Linked DNA regions of Arabidopsis thaliana. The protein of the gene in region 4 interacts with the protein of the main gene of each other region in a pairwise test. Each region holds a gene or a part of one and is shown on either strand. Other genes may lie near its edges.

The links.
Region 1: the proteins of NAC019 (region 4) and RHA1A interact in a two-hybrid assay, tested with the Arabidopsis thaliana proteins (one study listed by BioGRID).
Region 2: the proteins of NAC019 (region 4) and AT5G42940 interact in a two-hybrid assay, tested with the Arabidopsis thaliana proteins (one study listed by BioGRID).
Region 3: the proteins of NAC019 (region 4) and CPL1 interact in a two-hybrid assay, tested with the Arabidopsis thaliana proteins (one study listed by BioGRID).

What each region holds. Positions count from the first base shown.
Region 1 is NC_003075.7:6,905,650-6,908,982, forward strand, and holds RHA1A (RING-H2 finger A1A), read left to right. Parts: upstream 1-1,838; 5' UTR 1,839-2,127; coding exon 2,128-2,607; 3' UTR 2,608-2,793; downstream 2,794-3,333. Other genes in the region: RHA1B (RING-H2 finger A1B), read left to right, coding at 417-890. UniProt on the Arabidopsis thaliana protein: Probable E3 ubiquitin-protein ligase that may possess E3 ubiquitin ligase activity in vitro.
Region 2 is NC_003076.8:17,215,781-17,222,468, reverse strand, and holds AT5G42940 (RING/U-box superfamily protein), read left to right. Parts: upstream 1-1,796; 5' UTR 1,797-2,107; intron 2,108-3,210; 5' UTR 3,211-3,297; coding exon 3,298-4,920; intron 4,921-5,068; coding exon 5,069-5,128; intron 5,129-5,253; coding exon 5,254-5,352; intron 5,353-5,440; coding exon 5,441-5,581; intron 5,582-5,667; coding exon 5,668-5,820; 3' UTR 5,821-6,140; downstream 6,141-6,688. UniProt on the Arabidopsis thaliana protein: Probable E3 ubiquitin-protein ligase that may possess E3 ubiquitin ligase activity in vitro.
Region 3 is NC_003075.7:11,509,056-11,517,019, forward strand, and holds the start of CPL1 (C-terminal domain phosphatase-like 1), read left to right. Parts: upstream 1-1,933; 5' UTR 1,934-2,455; coding exon 2,456-2,773; intron 2,774-3,011; coding exon 3,012-3,488; intron 3,489-3,715; coding exon 3,716-3,926; intron 3,927-4,005; coding exon 4,006-4,163; intron 4,164-4,433; coding exon 4,434-4,501; intron 4,502-4,611; coding exon 4,612-4,717; intron 4,718-4,843; coding exon 4,844-4,927; intron 4,928-5,066; coding exon 5,067-5,672; intron 5,673-5,772; coding exon 5,773-5,836; intron 5,837-5,919; coding exon 5,920-6,050; intron 6,051-6,123; coding exon 6,124-6,177; intron 6,178-6,323; coding exon 6,324-6,420; intron 6,421-6,878; coding exon 6,879-7,093; intron 7,094-7,196; coding exon 7,197-7,283; intron 7,284-7,479; coding exon 7,480-7,545; intron 7,546-7,619; coding exon 7,620-7,693; intron 7,694-7,779; coding exon 7,780-7,867; 3' UTR 7,868-7,964. Other genes in the region: AT4G21660 (proline-rich spliceosome-associated (PSP) family protein), read right to left, coding at 1-38, 124-375, 496-717. UniProt on the Arabidopsis thaliana protein: Processively dephosphorylates 'Ser-5' but not 'Ser-2' of the heptad repeats YSPTSPS in the C-terminal domain of the largest RNA polymerase II subunit (RPB1). This promotes the activity of RNA polymerase II.
Region 4 is NC_003070.9:19,696,410-19,700,364, forward strand, and holds NAC019 (NAC domain containing protein 19), read right to left. Parts: upstream 2,074-3,955; 5' UTR 2,036-2,073; coding exon 1,855-2,035; intron 1,758-1,854; coding exon 1,489-1,757; intron 1,387-1,488; coding exon 883-1,386; 3' UTR 514-882; downstream 1-513. UniProt on the Arabidopsis thaliana protein: Transcription factors that bind specifically to the 5'-CATGTG-3' motif.

The DNA.
Region 1 (3,333 bases), on a different chromosome or scaffold from region 4:
ACCTATAGATTCAAGATCGTGTTCATATCTTCACTATCCACTCTTGAATCCCTGATGTCAAGATCCCAATAAATCCATCATTCGGGTATTAAATTTCTACCTAATATTAAAATTTGTTTTTTTTGTTTTGGTATATACTAAAGAAGACCCTTAACGTCACCACATTATCTATCACAGAAAATTGTATTAATATATTCTCTTTGTTTCTATACCAAGCAAAATATTTTACTATTTTACATTATACACTAAATAAGACCCACCATTGTTGATCAAATTGACTATACTTATCTTGAGCCGCCGGATTCAATTATTATAACTCCAACATCAATCTCACTATATATTATACTTGTCTCTATAATTCAACAATTCAAGCTTTATCTCTTTCTTTCTCTCCTCTCTATCTTTCTCTCACACTCATGGGTCTTCCAACAGATTTCAAAGAGCTTCAGATTCCAGGTTACGTACTAAAAACACTTTACGTCATCGGTTTCTTTAGAGACATGGTCGATGCTCTTTGTCCTTACATCGGTCTACCAAGTTTTCTTGACCACAACGAGACCTCTCGATCCGACCCGACCCGACTCGCTCTCTCCACGTCAGCAACTCTTGCCAACGAGTTAATCCCGGTGGTTCGTTTCTCCGATCTTTTAACCGATCCGGAAGATTGCTGCACGGTTTGCTTATCCGATTTTGTATCCGACGATAAGATTAGACAGCTGCCGAAGTGTGGACACGTGTTTCATCATCGTTGTTTAGACCGTTGGATCGTTGACTGTAATAAGATAACGTGCCCGATTTGTCGGAACCGGTTCTTACCGGAGGAAAAGTCCACGCCGTTTGATTGGGGTACTTCAGATTGGTTTAGAGATGAAGTGGAGAGTACCAACTAATAATGATGGTTTTACTTTTACTTTTTACTTTTTTCACGGTAATATTTTTCTACTGTATAATTCTTTCTTCCAAACTACTGTATAATTCAAGTATAAGATTATGTAATTGTGTATATTAGCATCAATCATCTTTCTTTGTTAAAGAACCGTCTGTATAAAATCTTCCAATGTAATCTGCTTTTCTTTTATTTGAATAAAAAAGTGGACAAATAAACACATCAAGTGTTATGGTATATCGCTATGTTAGGAATCTGAATTCATTTTCTTTTGAAGAAAAACAGTATTCATAATCTAATTCGTCTCTACCAAATAGAATTTGTAAACAGTTTTATACCGAAAAATATCTTAAAGAAACTCTTAATTTGTCTATTAAAATCCATGATACTATTTTTATTTGTACTTTATAAATTACAGAATGAATTAATACGTAAACTACCTTAGTCTTTGTCAAAATTGATATAAAGCAATATATTTTATTCAAAAAAAATAATAGTTTAGAAGATATTTCATCCACTATAAATCTATATGTCTTTCGACGAAAAAAACAAATTTTTGCCTTTCATAATATCTATCAAATGAATCTTTTTTATCATATTTAAATTCTTTCTGTTGTACTTTATATAACTACTACAAAATTGACATAGTTTGAATTAAAGCGGATAATCGACTTTTTAACTGATATTATTTGAGTTTTGCTTTGCTAAAATCATATACTATATTTAGGAAGAATTGTTAGAAATGCACATTTTCCATTACCACTTTTCAAAAATGTCATCTCTCTAAAACATTTATCAAAAATATCTTTAAAATCTGAAATATACCTAAATAAGTGTAACTTTATAAGAAAACTTAAACAAACTACTTTTATACGTTTGTAAAACTTTATAAATTTTTGGATGGAGTCTCTGAATAGTCGTTACCATTTTGAAGTAGTATTAAAGAACTTTTTTTTCTTTGAAAAATCCTTTAAACAGTGTTATTAAAATTCCTTGATGTCAATAGTCTTTAAACTGTGTTATTAAAATTCAACCATTCACCGTTTTGCAAAGAAAAGTATATAGAATATGTATTCTCTTTTGTTTTGACATCAATTTGGTTATACTTATCTTCAGCTGCCGGTTTGAATTGTACTCCAAACACAATTATAAATCTCACCATTTTTTATTATACACACTTTATTCTTGTCTCTATAGTTCCACATCTCAATCTAGCTCTCTTCTCTATCTTTCTCTAAATCATGGGTCTTCCTGAAGATTTCATCACCGAGCTTCAGATTCCAAGTTACATATTAAAGATACTTTACGTCATCGGTTTCTTTAGAGACATCGTCGATGCTCTTTGTCCTTACATTGGTCTACCTCGTTTTCTAGACCACAACGAGACCTCTGCACCCGATCTGACCCGACACGCTCTCTCTACGTCAGCGAGTCTTGCTAACGAGTTGATCCCGGTGGTTCGGTTCTCGGATCTTCCGACCGATCCGGAAGATTGTTGTACGGTTTGTTTGTCAGATTTTGAGTCCGACGATAAGGTTAGGCAGCTACCCAAGTGTGGACACGTGTTTCATCATTATTGTTTAGACCGTTGGATCGTTGACTACAACAAGATGAAATGTCCGGTTTGTCGGCACCGGTTCTTACCGAAAGAAAAGTACACGCAATCTGATTGGGGTTCTGGTTCAGATTGGTTTAGTGATGAAGTGGAAAGTACCAACTAATTGGTTTAATCTATGTCGGCAGAATATTTGTTGTATCAATTCCAGTATAACTCTATGTATATTAACATAGATCATCTTTTTGAAGGAACAACACTATATATATCTTTATACAAAAACAACACTATATCTAAGGATGTCAAAATGGATAACCCAACTCAACTTAACTCATAATCAAATGAGTTTAGGGTTAAATGAGTTATGGGTTGACCCAACTCATTTTGTTAAATGGGTTGGGTCAACCCATAACTTATTTAATTTGATGAGTTGAGTTGTTAAATGGGTTAACCTATTTAAATAGTAATTTAATTAATTATTATTATAAAATAATAATAAATAATTATCAATATTAATTCATTATCATCAAACTTAGGATATTTACCGATTCCACTTTTTACGGATTTACGTTTTCGACGAGAAAATCACGGGTTTACGTTTTTGGCGGAAAAATTATGGATTTACGTTTTTGGCAGGAAAATCTCGGGTTTACGTTTTTGGCGGGAAAATCTCGGGTTTACGTTTTTGGCGGAAAAATCACGGGTTTATGTTTTTTTGGTGAAAAAATTACGAGTTTACTTTTTCTCAATTTCATCGTTTGTATATTTAAGAAATTTGGAAAAATATTAATTTTATTAAATTGGTTTAGATGTGTTGATTAAACTTAAATTGACATTGGTTTAGAGATTTTAGTTGGTTTAATTCAATTTTACAAAACTTAATGGGTTAATT
Region 2 (6,688 bases), on a different chromosome or scaffold from region 4:
GCTATATAATAGCTAGATCCAAAGAATAAGCTCATGCGCATAATCCGAAAGATTCATTTGCTACTTCTAGTGCATGTGCTTCAGATGTTCCATCCACTTTTTTTTGTCTATGATCATTTTTTACTGGTGAGCTTTGATTAGCAGCTTATCCAATGCTTCATCTTTTATCAAGAATTGTAGACAAGTAGCTTTTATAAAGTTTTAAAATTAATTTTTTTTTTGATAAACCCTATCAGCTGATCTGGTCGGTAGAATTGCACCTGTTTTATAGTAGACTTCTCTCCGAAAGACCACCATAAAGTTTGTCCCAAGTTTGGAGTGTTTTCCGAATTTCATGGATAATCAGACCGCCTGCATTTCTAACTACCATGTAAACCAGTTAGAATTTAGCCAAAACCCAACTAACACACTTTTCAGACAAATGTGTTTTTTTTCCAAAGATGGTCGAACTTAGATATAAAAATTTCACTCTTGACCAAAATTTTCTCTACCATATTGAGTAATTCAATTCTCTCTCTAAAAATTAGAGAAGTAACCCTCTAAACCAAATCATTTTAAAATGTATATAAAAACTCATTTAAATCATGATCAATTACAACATTATATAGAAATTCTCTCTTCTTCGAATCTCTCAAAGTAAGATGGTTATAATCATGTGTGTGGTTTCACTAATTAAACAAAGACACTTTGATTTTCACAATGAAATCAACATATGCCTTCAAAAACATTTCACATCCCAAAACAAATTTTAATATTCAAATACTTTTCAAAAATTAAAATTAAATTATGCTTTCAGGGGTATATGAAATTACTTTAATTTCCATATATCAAAGTTAAAATGTGCAACCATATTTGGATTTTATAAAATTTAAACAAAACATTAAATTTAAAATGATTTTTCTTAAAATATAAAAATATTATGTATGAATAGAATGAAATTTCTTCTTAAAAAAACGTTTCAAGAAGATAAAATTTATTTAAGGGGATGAACCTTATTATTTACAGTTCAGAAAATAATAAAGAAATTGATTGCTAATAATAAAATATTGACCAAAATTTAGAAGTAAATATTACACATAGACTTTTTGTTAACCCTAAAAAAACCTTTTTCGTTTTTTTCCTTTCTTTTATATATATAGGATAGGATAAAACCATTCATAAGTTAATAAATCTGCACACATATACTCTCTTTTTTATTACAGTTCACGCATTGATTGCAAACAATAAAACCAATATTGACCAATTAACTAGAAGTAAATATTATTAATAAAAATATTTTTTAACATGATGCACTCAAATAAAAAATATTTTTAGATTTTTTCTTTCTTTTGTATATAGGATAAAGAAAGACCATTCATAAATTGATAAATCTTGCCAGTACCAAATTTAGGTAACTAGTGATTCTGATCCACACGTATACTCTTTTTTTTTGTACATATATTTAAATGGGGAATCTAAGCTAATGGAAGAAAATAAACAATAAAAATAAAAAAGATAAACAGAAGGAGAAAGTAGACCAAAGTTACATGACAACTAGGAAACAAAAAGTTCGAAAAGAAACCGGATTTGTTCTGCTCGGTTAAGTTCCGGTTTAGTTCAGTATGAACAAATAAAAGTAAAACAAACGAGGGACGTGTGTATGGAAGAGGCAAAGGCTGAGAAACTTTTGGTTGGGACAATTTGCTTAAGTAATGACTAATGAATGACCCAAAAGAAAAATCCTATTAACTCTTTCTTCTTAAGCCAACTTGCTTTCTTCTTCAACATTACACATTACGTGTAACTGTAATTAATTAAAAATCTTTACACATTGAATTATTAGTTTTTGTTTATTCGTTGATTTAGGCATTTAGCAATTCAATTCAGTCTTTGGAAACTGTTCTTATGACTGACCCTTTTTAACTTTTTGATTCAATTTCCTTAAAATATTAGTTTTTATTTTGGGTTATATGGTAAATTACACATTGCCGTCTCGTCCTAATAATCCTCTTTTCTGTTCCCATTTGTGTTGTTGTGCTTTGCTTCCTTCCTTTTTCCTCATTCTCTCTTCTTCTCCTTCTTCCTTCTCCTCCACCACAAAGCGGTAGGTTTCTCTCTTCAACAATCGGTGAGTCTCTTTCGTTTTCATTAAGAATCTTCATAAAGTTTTGATTTTTATTGTTCTTAGATCGATTTATGTTCTGTATCTGTTTGGTTTTGGTTTTGATTTTGATTTTTGTGTCTTTTCTGGGTTCTATTGGGTTTTCAAAGCTCGATCGAAATAGATAAGAATCGGTTGGTGGGTTTTTTGAAAAATAGTTTTTTTTTTGAAATTTTGTGTCAAATTCTGTAGAATTGTTGTTGTGGTGAATTTATTATTCATCAGAAGGTAAAAAAATTATTTTTTGTTATTGGGTTTTAGATGTTTGAATCGGATCTTTACTTCTATGAGCTTGTTTTATGAGAAAGTTTGATTCTTTGAGGTTTTTGAATTGTTTTTTATTGTGATGATGCTTTATCTTCAAGCTGTGGGTTTCTTTTGTCTTTGCTTTTACCTTGCTGTTTCAATACATCTTTGCTTGGTATTGAGGATTTGTGAAACTTCATACGCTGTTGCATCTATGGGTAGTTGATATGTCATTGATGAGGCAGTGCTTATTTTGATATTTCTCTTGTTTTTCTGAATTGCCATTGTGGTGGTAGTTGAGTAAAATGTTTTTCACTCTTTTCCTTGTTTCAAAATTGGCATGCTTGTTACGTGGTCCTGGATTTTGTTTGTACCTCATTTTCATTGACGCTTTGTTTCGAAGTTGGCAGTTAGGTGTCAATTTGATAATTTAGACTTGAAGTTCTTTTGTGTTTAGAATGGTTGATCATATGAATTTTCTATCGCATCTGTCCTCTTATTTTTTAAGCTTGTTAATAACTCATGTGTCATTAGTTTCCTACTGAATCATTTGTGTTTTAGTTAGGCGTCGCATCTAGAAGTAAGTTGCATTTAGTAGTAGTTGCAGCGGTCTTGCTTTGAGTGACTTTTGCACCTTGTGCTCTTCTAGGTGAAGCAGATTATATGACTGTATATGCAATCTCAGGGTGCCATTTATTATTACAATTGTAGGAGCTATGTTTTGATTGAGTGTGTTTATATGTTTCTTATTACAGTTGACATCGTGTAGAAGCCTTTTCCTTGTCTTTGTTACTGAAAGATCTACTGTCTTTGTTGTTTTGCAGTCTCCCCATTAGGCACATTGTTGAGGGCAGGGTAGTCTCGTGAGTTCTCTTCTCCTGAGTGTAACTGTGGTTAAAAGCTTAGCCAAGATGCAGGGGGAGAGGGCCAGTCTTGGCTATTTATCAGAGGCCTTGAACTTTGAGCATGGTTCTTCTTCAAGTAATGGTGTGATAGATCATTGGGAGAATATTCACAGTCTTGGTGATAATGACTTGCAGGATTACATGATTGCAAATTCTGAATCAAATACTTCGCTTGCAAACTCAGTTTATCACGAGCAACAGGGTTTACGCAGATTTAGCCTTGGTGAGGCTAGCTCTAGTGGCACGAAGGATGAAGCTTCCAGTCACAATGAGCAACGAATGGAAACAAGATGCTTTGACGGACGAGGAAATGAAATAATTGATTTAGACCCAGTGTTTGCGCAGCCATCAGGCACAAATCAACCTGTTCAGAATGTCAATCTGAATGCAGAGTATATAGAAATTCACGAGGATATTAATCCATATAGAGGTCGGTCTGGCTTCATAGAAGCTAATGGACCAGGGACCAGGGTCTCACAACCTGGCAGATCTTTTGAAGAGAACGGTGTTGGAACAGGTTCTTCTGTAGAGGGACGTCGTGCATCCTGCAAAAGAAAAGCTCTTGAAGGCAGTATTAGTCAATCTTCTTCAGGAGGTTATCATGATTTCCAGCGTGGAGAAAGCAGTTCGTGGACCCCAGGTTCTACGGTTTTTAGGCCAGGAAATGGTTTAAACATATCTGGCTCCCTTGACAATGGACCAAGAGGAATGGTCTCCGGTACTGTACCAAATTTTCCTGTTTCTGCACCAAATTTTCCTGTTTCTGCCATTGCAGAGAGCTCCAGTAGAAATATATGCGTCAGGAGTAATCCCTCAGATCATCAAGAAACTGTAAACCCATCTACCTTTGCTGCGGGAACTGTTGTCAGGCGGCCTGTCCCTCCATCCCAGTTGAACTTGTCAAGACACTTACCAGCAGATCAGCATTCATTGGACTTGAGACCTGGACAGTCTTTTGTCGTTTCTCGTAACCCAAATTCTACTCCTGTGAGCATACCACCTGGTTCAAGGACTATGCTACCACCATTTCGGTGGACTGGGAGCTCACTAGTGGGTGGAACATCGAACTCTACTGCGCCCGTTGAGAGAAATCTTCATCTAGATGAAACCAGGTCAAGAAGCATACCCGGGAATACTCTTGAGATTCCCATGTTTGCAGCTCCTGAGGTAGGAAATTTTGCCCGTAGTCAGAGTAGCAGAAATGTAACAAATGGAAACCTGAATAGTGCATCATCAGTGTCCAGGACAGGCTCAACAACAAGTGTTCCACCACCACCACCACCATCTTCTAATCTAGCGTGGACTTCTTACCAGAATTCACCACATTATCAAAGAAGAAGGACTGAAAGGTCTGAACTTGCACGTAGGTCCTTGCTTTCTTCCCTTGCAGCAGATGCTACAAACCAGAGATCTGGTGATCATCCAACACTTCGTTCGTTGGCCCCTCCTGCCTCTTCGGATGGGCTTGTGCTTCAGCCTGGTGGTGATAATAGTCAGATGCATAATCGGGCTTACTCGAGAGCAGGTCCGTTGTTTGATAGGCAAGGGGATAGTGTGGTTGGTATTCCTCATCCTTTGCGGGCCTTGGCAGCTGCAAGCAGAGGAAGAAGCAGACTTATGGTGTCCCAGGTCAGTCGATACAAATTCTATTGGCATGTAGCCTTTAACGTGGATGGAATTTGTTAACTTTGGCTCATTCAGTTGCGCATAAATACCATTTGTTTGTTCTTCAGCAGTCACTCAAATAGAACTAACAATACGTTTCTCTTTCCGACAGATGCAGAATGTCTTGGATGTCATGCGTAGGGATGCTAATAATAACAACTTGCGGCTTGAGGTTAGTTTTTCCTGATTGTAGCGAAGTTATCTAAATTCGAACTTGTCTTGTGTCTGTCTCTGTTGATTTCTAGATGAACTAGCCTAATAACTGGAACATAAATAATCTGGATGCTTGTTTTCCAGGACGTTATGCTTCTAAATCACTCAGTACTATTTGATGGGGCTACTGGTCATGACCGGTATAGAGACATGCGACTTGATGTGGACAACATGTCATATGAGGTAAATTAAAAACCATAGTGAACCATAAATCTTTGTCTGAGTCACGTTAAATCACTAAATCTAACTCCTTTTGGTTCATAAACTGTAGGAATTGTTGGCACTAGAAGAGCGGATTGGAGATGTTTGTACCGGTGTAAACGAGGAAACCATATCAAACCGGTTAAAGCAACGAAAATACAAAAGCAACACAAAATCTCCACAAGATGCAGAGCCATGCTGTGTTTGTCAGGTAAAAATATACTAGTTACTGAAATAGCATTTAAAAGGTATAAGATTGTTTTTCGTCCGAGTATGAATGGTGAAAACTTGGTGCAGGAGGAATACACCGAAGGAGAAGACATGGGGACACTAGAATGTGGGCATGAATTCCATAGCCAATGCATTAAAGAATGGCTGAAACAGAAGAATCTTTGCCCAATCTGCAAGACTACAGGCTTGAACACCGCGAAGAAGCGGAGGATAGCATGATGATTTCTCGAAAGAGCTTTTTTTTTTTCTTAACTATTCAATTTTATAATCAAAAATGAAAGAAACAGAAGGTACCCTCAAGCCCCCACACCATTGCAGAGCCAGGCAAGTTTGTCCCCAATTTTTTTTAAAAAAAAGATAGAATTTGTTCGTATTTATAATCTGAGTATGAAAGATGGAAAGATTTGGATTGAAGGGAAAAGATAAAGGGTGGTAGGGAAATGTTGTTTTTTTCTTTTATGGATTTGTTTGGATAATTTAATTTTACCCATTGTCAATTAAGTTTATGAATCCTTTGAAAGAAGCAGGAAGTTGAATCAGCCGATTTTGAGAGAATACTTACTTTGAAAGCCCATATGTTGTTTTGAGTTACCTAGTTTGCTCTAATTGGTTACAAAAGTTTTAGGATGCAAAAATGTTGCAATTTTGGAGAAACAAAATCAAGTTGGATATGTGCAAATGGTTGTCCCTTAAGAGGCAGAGTAATAAGGTGAACAAGTTGAGTAAAAATTTAGTTGGAAGAATAAAATGAATAGATTGAGAGAAATAAGTTGTGTGTTGTTTAACTTGTTATGCTCGTATGATGGGACTTTAAGAAAAGAGATTTTATGGTAAATAGTAGAACTGTAGAGGAATGCAAAGGATTACACGTACGCTTTGAATGGTAGATATGGGCAAAGCGGACTAAAACAGTAACGGATTATAGTTTATGAATGGTAAACGAAAATCTCTTCAAACAAATGGATTTGTCTGTCCTAACCATCACAACCATTCCGGACTACAATATTTTTCTCAATTTTGTTACTCTAAATTAGAAATGTTTTGCATATATACTAAGGAGAACAAATCAAAAATCAAACTCTATTTG
Region 3 (7,964 bases), on a different chromosome or scaffold from region 4:
ACCTGCTTCAGCTCAGCAATCTTCATTCTCCGTTGAAGCTGAGGAAACAGAAATTCAGAATATTCAGAATCTAAAGAATGCAATAAAACAAATTGAGAGGTAATAATAAGGTTTGAGCTATACCTTTTTCTTCTTATTAGAGATGCCTTTCTCTTTGTTCTGATTATCCTGCTCGTCGTCGTCTGAATCAGAATCAGAGTTAACCTTCTTTTTGACATCTTCTTTCTCCTCAGACTCATCTTTCGTACCGTCTTCTTCAGAGGCAAGAGGTTCGCGGAAGTTGAACTTCTCGAAGATTTCCTTAAACTCATCGTTAAAACCATCTTCAAATTCAGCTTGCTCTGGAACATACTCTATCACAATCTGCTCACAAACCTATCAAAGAGAAACATATACCAAAAATCATCAGCAAACGATAAACAATCACAAACCCTAAGAAAAACCCTAGAACACCTCTCCATGAATCGAGTACGAGAAGATGAGCACAAAGTTAACCTGTGGCTGGGGATCTGTATTCTCTTTGGATTCAGAAGCAGCAGAAACGTCCGATGCATCTACATCGGCTTGGGATGCTTTGTTGTTCTTCTTCTGCTTCCGTCTGCGGCGGCGACGGTCAATCTCACGAGATTTCTTAGAGGAAGCGGAGGTGTTTCCGTTGGAGACATCACCGTTAGAAACGACGCTATGAACGAGTGCGACGGTTGAATCGGCGGTCATATTCGGTGTTCTCTCTGAATCGGTGATGTGAAAAGAGAGATTGAGAGGAGAAGGAAGAACGACGGAAATCGAGGATATACGTATATGAACAAGAGTCGGTTTGCTGAAATTCTCTCTGATTCTATTTCCGGTTTGGCATAAGGCCCATATAAGTAGAAGACGAATATATCTGCCAATAGGCCCAACACTTTATATTTTTCTTCGAGTGTAAGAATTGTTTTGTAGAAGACCATCTACTAGTAACTAATAGAAAATTTCAAAGGAAATGTATGGAACAATATTCAAACACTACTATAAATGTTGGCACGAGTTAACTCTACATTATTCGTAAAAATGTTCTATTGAACTTTTAAAATTATAAAATTACAGTTTACACAATGTCTTGAAATTTTGAAGAAAGTTATAAGTATCAAAATTGTATATATGTGGGTATTTGAGATTTAAATAAAATTCTCTGACTAACAACAAAACTTTTAATAAAATTTAAATGTTTTAGTTTATTATTCGTAAAAATTTAGTTTTTACATGAATTGAGGTAATTTTTATTCACTTTGAGATTTTATTAATGTGAGCACGACTCCCGGTGTATGTTATCGGTTGTTTATTATGCAATTAGAACAATATACATTGTGCCTTTTTAGTTTCAAAATTGTTTTCATAAGACATTAGGAAAGAACACGGAAAAAAAAGACATTAGGAAAGAATTTTGTAACGGCTTTTGTACGTAACGGTTATTTTTAAACAAGGAAAAAAATACTGTCTATAAAAAAAAATTATCTTTACGTAGTTGTGTATTTTAGAAAACAAAATAAATCATTTTTTATTTACTAAACTATTATTTTATAAGGAAAAGATTGAAAAGAGTAGGGGAAAGATATATGTGAAAAAATATTCATGCTTGGTAGATAAAAAATATTTCACAAATAAAGAGACAAGTATATGTCAAAAATATCATGTCTTTTGAATAAATAATCTTCTAAAAAAAAAGAATTAGATGAACTATAAATATCTTGTGGTATATGAATCCTTGACACTGTAAAAATCAAAACATGAGATCAGAAACACAAGTATAAAAGTACATTACAAGTACGGTATGAATCGAAAAAAAAACAGAATTTGACAGGTTTTGAGCTGATAAAAACTATTTCAGGCTTTTATTAATTTTTAAAAATAGTATTAATTGTTTTTAAAATAAGACATAAATAAAAAAAAGAACGGTTAAAGAAAATGAAGGGGCCCTTCGTGTTTTGTTTTCCCTTAAAAAAACCAAGGACAAAGGCATAATGCCGTATTCACAATCTTGACTCTTCGTTATCTGGATCTAGGGTTTCTCTCGATTTTTAGAACGCCACAAAACCTAATAAACTTTTCCCAGATACACAAACAAACTCATCATCAACCAAGGAAGAAGAAAGAAACTAGGGTTTTTTTTTGTGGATTCATCATCGGTATTTTACAGATCTATATTCAAAGGGAACAAAATCTTAAGGAACAAACACTAAATTTTCATTCTTTCTCTTATTTACCCATTTATCAAAAATCTTCCTTTTGTTTTCCTGATTCTTGCTAAAGAAAAAAACTCGGATCCAATTCATAAACTAGTGTGGACTGGTGATCAATCTATCAATTCTGGCCAAGGGACAACAAAAAGTTTAGATTTTGATGAACCAATTTTGAGATGAGACAATAGACATCCATTGATCTGTAAACTTTAAGAAGGAGAAGGAGAAAAGAAAGTATGTATAGTAATAATAGAGTAGAAGTGTTTCATGGTGATGGAAGACTTGGAGAATTGGAGATATACCCTTCAAGGGAATTGAATCAGCAACAAGATGATGTGATGAAGCAGAGGAAGAAGAAACAGAGGGAAGTAATGGAGCTAGCCAAGATGGGAATCAGAATAAGCCACTTTTCTCAATCTGGCGAGAGGTGTCCTCCTCTTGCAATACTTACTACAATTTCATCTTGTGGCCTTTGTTTCAAATTAGAAGCTTCACCTTCTCCAGCTCAGGAGTCACTCAGTTTATTCTACTCGTCCTGTCTCAGGGACAACAAGGTATCTAAACCTTACGAACCTTTAAGCCTTACTCAGACTTAGATTTTATCAACTAAAACTCAAAAACACTTAATGATAAATAGGATTTTGTGTCATTATTTAACTTCCTTAATGTCAGAGCTGCATCAAGTTTGGGGCTTTAGAAACTTTTAGTAGAGTGGGGGTTTGAATCTTGTGTTGTTTGTTATGTTACAAATTGTCCTCATATTTGTGAGTTTTGGATTTTTGCTTCTTGCAGACAGCAGTAATGCTCTTGGGTGGAGAAGAGCTCCATTTGGTTGCTATGTACTCGGAAAATATCAAGAATGACCGTCCTTGTTTCTGGGCATTTAGTGTTGCTCCTGGAATTTACGATTCCTGTCTTGTTATGTTGAATCTTAGATGTCTGGGTATTGTCTTTGATCTTGATGAAACCCTTGTAGTGGCGAATACCATGCGCTCATTTGAGGATAAGATTGACGGGTTTCAGCGGAGAATAAACAACGAGATGGACCCTCAACGCCTTGCCGTTATAGTGGCTGAGATGAAGCGTTATCAAGATGACAAAAATCTATTGAAGCAATATATTGAAAGTGACCAGGTTGTTGAAAACGGGGAGGTGATAAAGGTGCAATCTGAAATTGTTCCTGCCTTGTCTGACAACCATCAGCCTCTTGTTCGCCCTCTGATAAGGTTGCAAGAGAAGAATATTATTCTGACTCGCATTAACCCAATGGTATGCAAGTCTTGAATCAGTATATGTCTGTTAGTTTCTGTTCCCCGTATACATATATGTTTAGTGCTTACTACACATTTAAAAGACAATAAGTGGTGGTGTGCTGTGTGGTGGATTTCCTTGAATACTTGTGGTATAACCTTTTATTTTTCATTTGCTCCTTTCTGGAGCACCTAGATTTTTCTGAATTCTTGTGGCTGAATCTGCATTCCTATATTTACACACAGATTCGTGATACAAGTGTTCTTGTGAGAATGAGGCCCTCATGGGAGGAACTTCGAAGCTATTTGACAGCAAAAGGGCGTAAGCGTTTTGAAGTATATGTTTGCACGATGGCTGAAAGAGATTACGCCTTAGAGATGTGGAGGCTCCTTGATCCAGAAGGGAATTTGATAAACACAAATGACTTGCTTGCTCGCATCGTTTGTGTGAAATCTGGTATACTTTTTGGTATCTTATACCTGCTTATATTTCATCATGGTAAAACTTCTTACAAGCTTGTAATTAACCACCACAGGTTTTAAAAAGTCACTGTTCAATGTGTTTCTCGATGGAACCTGCCATCCAAAGATGGCATTGGTAATTGATGATCGATTGAAAGTTTGGGATGAGAAGGATCAGCCGAGGGTACATGTGGTTCCTGCATTCGCTCCCTATTATTCTCCTCAAGCTGAAGTAAGTATAATTTTTACCTAGTTGAAATTGGTTATGAAAAATGCAGAAGCATGTGAATTTGATAAGAATATTATTAATCAAAAGAATCACAAGTCATTTAGAATGGAACAAATGAAGCCTTATAAGACCTAACATAAGCTAGCTTTGTGGTGAGTTCTACGCAAGGGGTCTTTGTGGGCCTGGTTTGTTGCACAATTTCTACCAGAAGTGATAGTCTTGACTTTTCAGTAATAAATGGTGTCACATATAGCTCGTTTCCTTTTCTTGTAGGCTGCTGCAACACCAGTACTATGTGTTGCCAGGAACGTTGCCTGTGGTGTCAGAGGTGGATTTTTCAGGTAAGATGTCAGATTTGATAATAGTAGTTTGTTTTCTTGACATCTCTACTGATCAAGGGTGCTTCCTTAGTACATACTTACGGTGAAATGGTATTTGAACTTGGTTACAGGGATTTTGATGATAGTCTGCTACCAAGGATTGCTGAAATTTCTTATGAGAATGATGCTGAGGATATTCCTTCTCCGCCTGATGTCAGCCATTATTTGGTGTCGGAGGTTAGTCGTGATACTTGTTAGCGATTGGGAGTAGATAATTTTTTGGTTCTCTTCCAGGCAGTCTGGGAGCTTATTTTACTCACCTTTGAAACTGCTTCCCAGTAACTCATTCTTTTTTCAATATAGGATGATACATCGGGTTTAAATGGGAACAAAGATCCACTTTCCTTTGACGGGATGGCTGATACTGAAGTGGAGAGAAGACTGAAGGTGATTTACATTTTGAGGCTCTATTGTTACTGAGTTATTGTGGTGATCCATTAAAGATGCCAACTCCAGTAAACATGGCTTCTGGTTTAAATTTTCTGCCCAATGTTGAAATTCAAATACATTTTTCCGTTTTATTCAGGAGGCAATTTCTGCATCTTCAGCTGTCCTTCCGGCGGCAAATATAGATCCGAGGATAGCTGCTCCCGTTCAGTTCCCCATGGCTTCTGCTTCTTCTGTTTCAGTTCCAGTACCAGTACAAGTCGTGCAACAAGCAATACAACCTTCAGCTATGGCCTTTCCAAGTATTCCATTTCAACAACCTCAACAACCGACATCAATAGCTAAACACTTGGTTCCTTCAGAACCAAGCTTGCAGAGTTCTCCTGCTAGAGAGGAAGGTGAGGTACCTGAATCAGAATTAGATCCAGATACTAGGAGGAGACTCCTCATATTGCAGCATGGACAAGATACTAGGGATCCTGCTCCAAGTGAACCTTCATTTCCTCAGAGACCTCCAGTTCAAGCTCCACCCTCACATGTGCAATCAAGAAATGGCTGGTTTCCTGTTGAGGAGGAGATGGATCCTGCTCAAATTCGTCGAGCAGTCTCAAAAGAATATCCGTTGGATTCTGAAATGATTCATATGGAAAAGCACAGGCCTCGTCATCCATCATTTTTTTCTAAGATTGATAACTCAACTCAGTCTGACAGGATGCTTCATGAGAATCGCAGGCCGCCAAAGGAGGTACCACTAATCTTATTTAACCTATGATTTTACAGTTGTCAGTTTTTTTGGTCTTTATACTGCTGTACGACGTTTAGTGCTCACTGTGATATATTTGCAGTCTCTCCGGAGAGATGAACAGTTACGTTCAAATAACAATCTACCTGACTCTCATCCTTTCTATGGTAAGCCATCAAAGTTATTTGTTCTTGTATCATTTTGTTCTGAAGATAAATCACTGACTTGGGTATTGGGATGGACTCTCTAGGGGAGGATGCGTCTTGGAATCAATCTTCCTCTAGGAACAGTGATCTTGACTTCCTACCTGAACGAAGTGTCTCAGCAACGGAGACTTCAGCTGATGTTCTACACGGAATTGCTATCAAATGTGGAGCTAAGGTATGTAAATATCATCATGATTACCATTAATTCCATACGTGAGTTGATGTGTTATTATTCCATGACATTGTAGGTGGAGTACAAACCAAGTTTAGTTTCTAGTACAGATTTGCGGTTCTCTGTTGAGGTACGTATTGCTCTTAGACGTATCTGTTTGTATGGTGTCAGTAATTTTGGTGGAACCTTATGCTCTTTGAGATCCTATATTTCCTTTGAGTGAGGTTACTTTGTTGATTGTGTCAACTGTACATTAAATCTATGTTTTTTTTGCAGGCTTGGCTTTCTAATCAAAAAATTGGAGAAGGGATTGGCAAATCGAGAAGAGAAGCCCTGCATAAGGCTGCTGAAGCTTCTATACAGAATTTAGCTGGTAAGACTTTCTGACTCATGATTTACTCGTGTCTTAATCTTTGTCTGCAGAGATACTATTTGAGATAGATTGTTTGAATCTGCTATATTGGGTGAATGTTATTTGTTTGATGTTTCTAAACCATCTTCACAATATTGGGTGTAGATCTCAATTTTTCAACCAATCTGTTTAGTCTGTAATATTAATAGATCTATTGTAGCTTCGTGTTGGTCCTCATAAATGGGTTTATATCAATGAGTATGAGTACTGCCACCACAAACGGTTGCGTGTCAGTATGTTATGATATCAAAACTGTGGGTCCCTTCCCTTTACAAGGGTGAGAGCTATCTTGGATTTGTGGCAGTTGGCTCAGGTTTAATATTGGTCGGCTTCATTCACATTGTTCTTATAATGAGGCTTTAAACTCATTGTTGTTCGTTTGTTTCCAGTTTCTTGAGTTCTTACTCCTTTTTTTGCAGATGGATATATGCGTGCAAATGGTGACCCAGGGCCCAGCCACAGAGATGCTACCCCCTTCACCAATGAAAATATAAGTATGGGAAACGCAAATGCGCTTAATAATCAGCCATTTGCTAGAGATGAAACAGCGTTGCCAGTTTCTTCTAGACCTACAGATCCGAGATTAGAAGGTTCTATGAGGCACACTGGCTCCATTACTGCACTCAGGGAATTGGTATGTATCTCCTTAGTGCGGATACTGTTGATTGATATGGTTGCTTGCTTACATTCACATATTGTTTTTTCTCATCTTTGATTCATCTGTAACCAAATTCCAGTGTGCATCGGAGGGTCTTGAGATGGCTTTTCAATCTCAGCGTCAGCTTCCATCTGACATGGTCCACAGAGATGAATTACATGCTCAGGTTCGCACCCCTAAAAGATTAGAACACAGAAGTGTTAAATTTTTTAAAAAAAAAATCTAAGATAGACAATTTTCAGTTAAAAGAGAAAGATTCATGATTTTCTCTTCAGGGCCATCAGTATATTTCATATCTATTCAATTGGTTTGAAGTATCTAGAGTGTAGACCCCTCTTGATACTCTTTGTAATATATTTCAGGTTGAAATAGATGGGCGTGTTGTAGGGGAAGGAGTTGGATCGACATGGGACGAAGCTAGAATGCAGGTAACTCAACTAAATTCTTGCCTCGGGTTTATTCTGATCCCATCTTTTCCCTTCTCTGACGTTCTTACCTTTAGGCTGCTGAGAGAGCACTGTCCAGTGTGAGATCAATGCTTGGTCAACCTCTGCATAAACGACAAGGATCTCCACGGTTTGTTCTTGACTATATCTATATGATTATCAAAATAAAAATGTCAGTTGATATATTTTAAAAACCGGTTTCTTGTTGATGTTTAGATCATTTGGTGGGATGTCAAACAAGCGATTAAAGCCGGACTTTCAACGGTCTCTGCAACGGATGCCATCTTCGGGAAGATACTCTTAAAAATAAAACCATGTGAAGAACGAACCACATTCTACATTAATTCCATTCTCTTGGTAAAAACAGCTACCAAGACGAATTCTTTGTCAAGTTCCTTTCT
Region 4 (3,955 bases):
TAACAATGTGGCTAATGTGTACTAGAGATTGTGTTAACGCGCACTCTAAATCAAAATAAGAACATCTCGAATAGTTTAAAACCCTTTTTGAGTATTCTCATCCTCTTTTGAACTAAATGGTTATTTTTGGTACTTTCAATTCTTTATTTCGTTATTTTAATGTTTTGAAAACTCTTTATTAGAGATGTTCTTAAACTTTTACATGATTCATGTCAGAAATTAAATTTAAACTATTAGGTCGGATTTTCCTAGGTACAGTTAAAAAATCGAGTATTCCGTGTTTTACTCTTATCATTCATACCCTAATTGCAAACGCATTTAGTCGACCCACAATAAACATGTGTTTGAAACTTGTACGGTATAAACTGTTTCTCTACAATCTCTTGTCAAGATGGTCAAACAAGCAAGCCCACGTTACACACCTAAGTTCAGCTAACCCAACGCTCCTTTTTCAAATACAGTATATACAGTAAGTCTCTCAATTTGTGGTGTGTTACTATATATTCGTAAACAGAAAAGATTTGTATGTAGGTTTATGATTACATAACGTATGCTTATATTAAAAATGCATGAGATAGTTAAATATATTCTTTTGGATAGCTCAAACAATTAAACTTACATGTATAGCTAGCCACAACTAAACAATATATCAATATGCAATTTCAATCCACTAAATTTATACCAATACAAAGATAACCAAACAGCAACAAAATAAAGTTACGAAATCTATTCGTCAAATTTTCTATGCATGAAAGATTACAAATCTACATCTAAATCTATGAGTCTCCCTCTTAACCCAAAAGAATTGAAATTCAAATACATATAAGATTTGCCACGGGACAAAAATTAACGACTTATTTTTATTGCGTCAGCATTTCATCATCACATAAACCCAAACCCACCAACTTGCCCCGAATACCCAAACGAGTCAACACCATAACCCTTTTGAGCTAACTCGCCCGAGTTATTAAACCCGTGACTGCTCTCGACTTCCTCCTCCGTCTTCAGGTAGCCACAGTTGTACTCGAGATTAGGAACAACATGACTCATTCCGAGTTCCGGTACCGAGTTATTATGCTCAACATTACCGGCAAAACTAGCCCAATCGAAGTTAGAAGTATCCGCAAGACCGTGGAACCCGGTTTTCTGTTCGGTTAAGTCCGGTCTGAGCGACGAGATGCGGTTTGGGTTAGAAAACTGGAAATTTCTGTTGTCGATCTCTTGATGAAACGAATCAAGAACGTCTTCAAAGTGAGAAGAAGACGACGTCGTGGACGAAGTACCGTTGTTGCTGAATTCTCTAGCATTCGCGATTCCATTATCGTAAACTTGTTTTTGTGCACTTGATTGCTTCTTGTATATTCGACATAGAACCCAATCATCCAACTAAAGAAAATTAACAAGAATATTAATTATAGGTCATTCAAAACACTACAAGAAGAAAATATAAGATATAGTATTTATTAATGTTTAGATTTTATTTGTTACCTTAGTGCTTCCGTTTCTACGAGAAGGTTCAATGAGACGATACTCATGCATGATCCAATTGGTTTTAGTACCTTTAGGAGCTTTTCCGATGTAAAACACCAAAGCTTTTTTAATACCAACTCTTTGTCCTTCCGTCGAGATTATTTTATCCGTACCCGTAGCTTTCCAATAACCCGATCCGGCAACCCGGTTAGGTCTTGACCCGTTTGGATATTTTCTATCCCTAGGACTAAAAAAATACCATTCTTTTTCTCCAAATAATGCTTTATCTATAAATCACAAAAGAAGAAAAACCAAGAAAATTATGAATCTCTGTTAAGAAAAATAAACATTTTTTGAGAAGGGTTTCAATTAGTATATACTTACTTGGTAAAACCCATGGATCGAATTTGTAAAGATCTATTTCGGCGATGAGCTGAAGAGAGAAATCGTAACCAGCTGCTTTTCTACAGAGATATTGAACCATAAGCTCTTCATCGGTCGGGTAAAATCGGAAACCCGGTGGTAAACTCAATTGCGTTAACGGGTCAGTTTCTTGGATACCCATATTTTTTTCTTTCTTTCTTATTTTTGACAATAATGTTTGGGTCTCGTGCTACTTATATATGGACGCAGTGTATAGGTGAATCCACCGCCGCTGATTAACGTGTGTACTGAATATGGGACCCATTTTTGTGTTTATCTATAAACACTTTTGAATTCTGACACGTGTGTCAGTTAGATCGTCGTGATTTATGCAATCCCTTGAGTTCATTGAACCTACATGAGTAGATTTAGCTCTTCCTCGTACTATTTTTTTTAAATGGTTTTTTTTATTAACATTTGTTTATTCATCTATTTATCAATAATGTTCCGCTAAATTTAAAAGTATTTTCCAATCAAAATAAGATTCAAATGAATGTTTGGAAATTTGCTGCTTAGACATTTGGAGTTCACATATAATATTTAATTTAATCGAGATTTTTTTCCTAGGATTGTCTATTTAATTATTTAAGTAATGTAAAACAAATTAAAAAAATGATTTTCGATTTTCCTTTTAGGATTTTTTTTTTTTTTTTAAGGATATTTTTTATTTACAAAGTTTATTGTCAATATAGTAACCAGACGACATCTAAACCACAAAACATTATTGACTTTATCTTGGTCGATTTAATCAACATTGAACCGTCCATGTACTTTTTGGTGGTCTATATATTCGTGTAGGGGACTGAATTTCAGAATAAAGGAACAATTATTTGGCCAAATTTGTACCCAAAAAAAAAAAGATTTTTTGGCGAAATGATTGAACAGTAACCATGAAATATGTGAACTGGTAAAGGAAGAGATATTTTATTTCACGTGTTTTTTGTTGACGGGTTTTCTGAAATGTATATGTGCCAAATGTTGTAATAAGAAGGACACGCGTAATGTTGTGGTAGGGTAAGGGAAAGAGCTTCGAAAAAAGCGAAGTTGAAAGGACAAAGGAACTGTTCAATGTATCTTAGGTTACAACATGGAAAGCGTTTTCCATACGGACAAAACTACATCATGACGACACGTGTCCACGTGTCTATCGTAGAAGTTAGGCGCAATTTGTCATTTGTCAAAAAGACGTTATAACGATGGGAGAAGAGAAAAAACACGAGTTGATGTTGACTAAAGATTTTTTCAATTTATTTTTGTTTTCAGAAACATTAACAAACACAACTCGTAGTAGCTGCTTCAAAGCTTCATAGTATCTTTTTTAAAAAAAATATAGGGTAAAAAACTTCATAGTTTCTTTTTTTTTTTTGTGAAAAAAAAACTTCATAGTTTCATCATTTAGTTCCATGGTTTTTAAAAGATAGAACCATATATAATGGTCGCAATTTTTGTTTAATTTAGAAATTGGGTGTTATAGTATAAAAATCCATATTGTTCGCTCGGAATATGCTGTTTTGAGTTGGAAAGTGAAGTATATAATTGACTAATTGAGCATGTTTAGAACACCTAAATTCCACTTATAACCATTAGATCACATAGATACCACGATTTGGATAAAATCCTTGTTGGATAATGTATAAATTAATATTTTTATCTACATTTTTAGTGTCGGTTTCACCAATATGTCTAACTAATTTAAGGACTTAGCAAAATTATTTGTTGAGTTTTATGTAAATCCACCATAGATAAAACATCTTAACCGAAAAATAAGTAATCCACATCAAGTTTGCATATAATATAATCGAAATTGAAATTAGCTATAGACCCTATACATATATTCAGATTTTGTTTTATAAGATCACGTATTGATGTAATTTTTTTTGTCTGTATTTATCCATTGATTAGTTTTCATGCAGTTGTGGTATTTCATAAATGAAAAAAATTTACGAATGAATTTTTCTTGAAATTTATATTATAATATAATCTAACCCTAGAACATTTTACTGAAATCATTAAATTTTTTATGAAAGTTTAAGCATACATATATATGACATTTTTTTTTTTG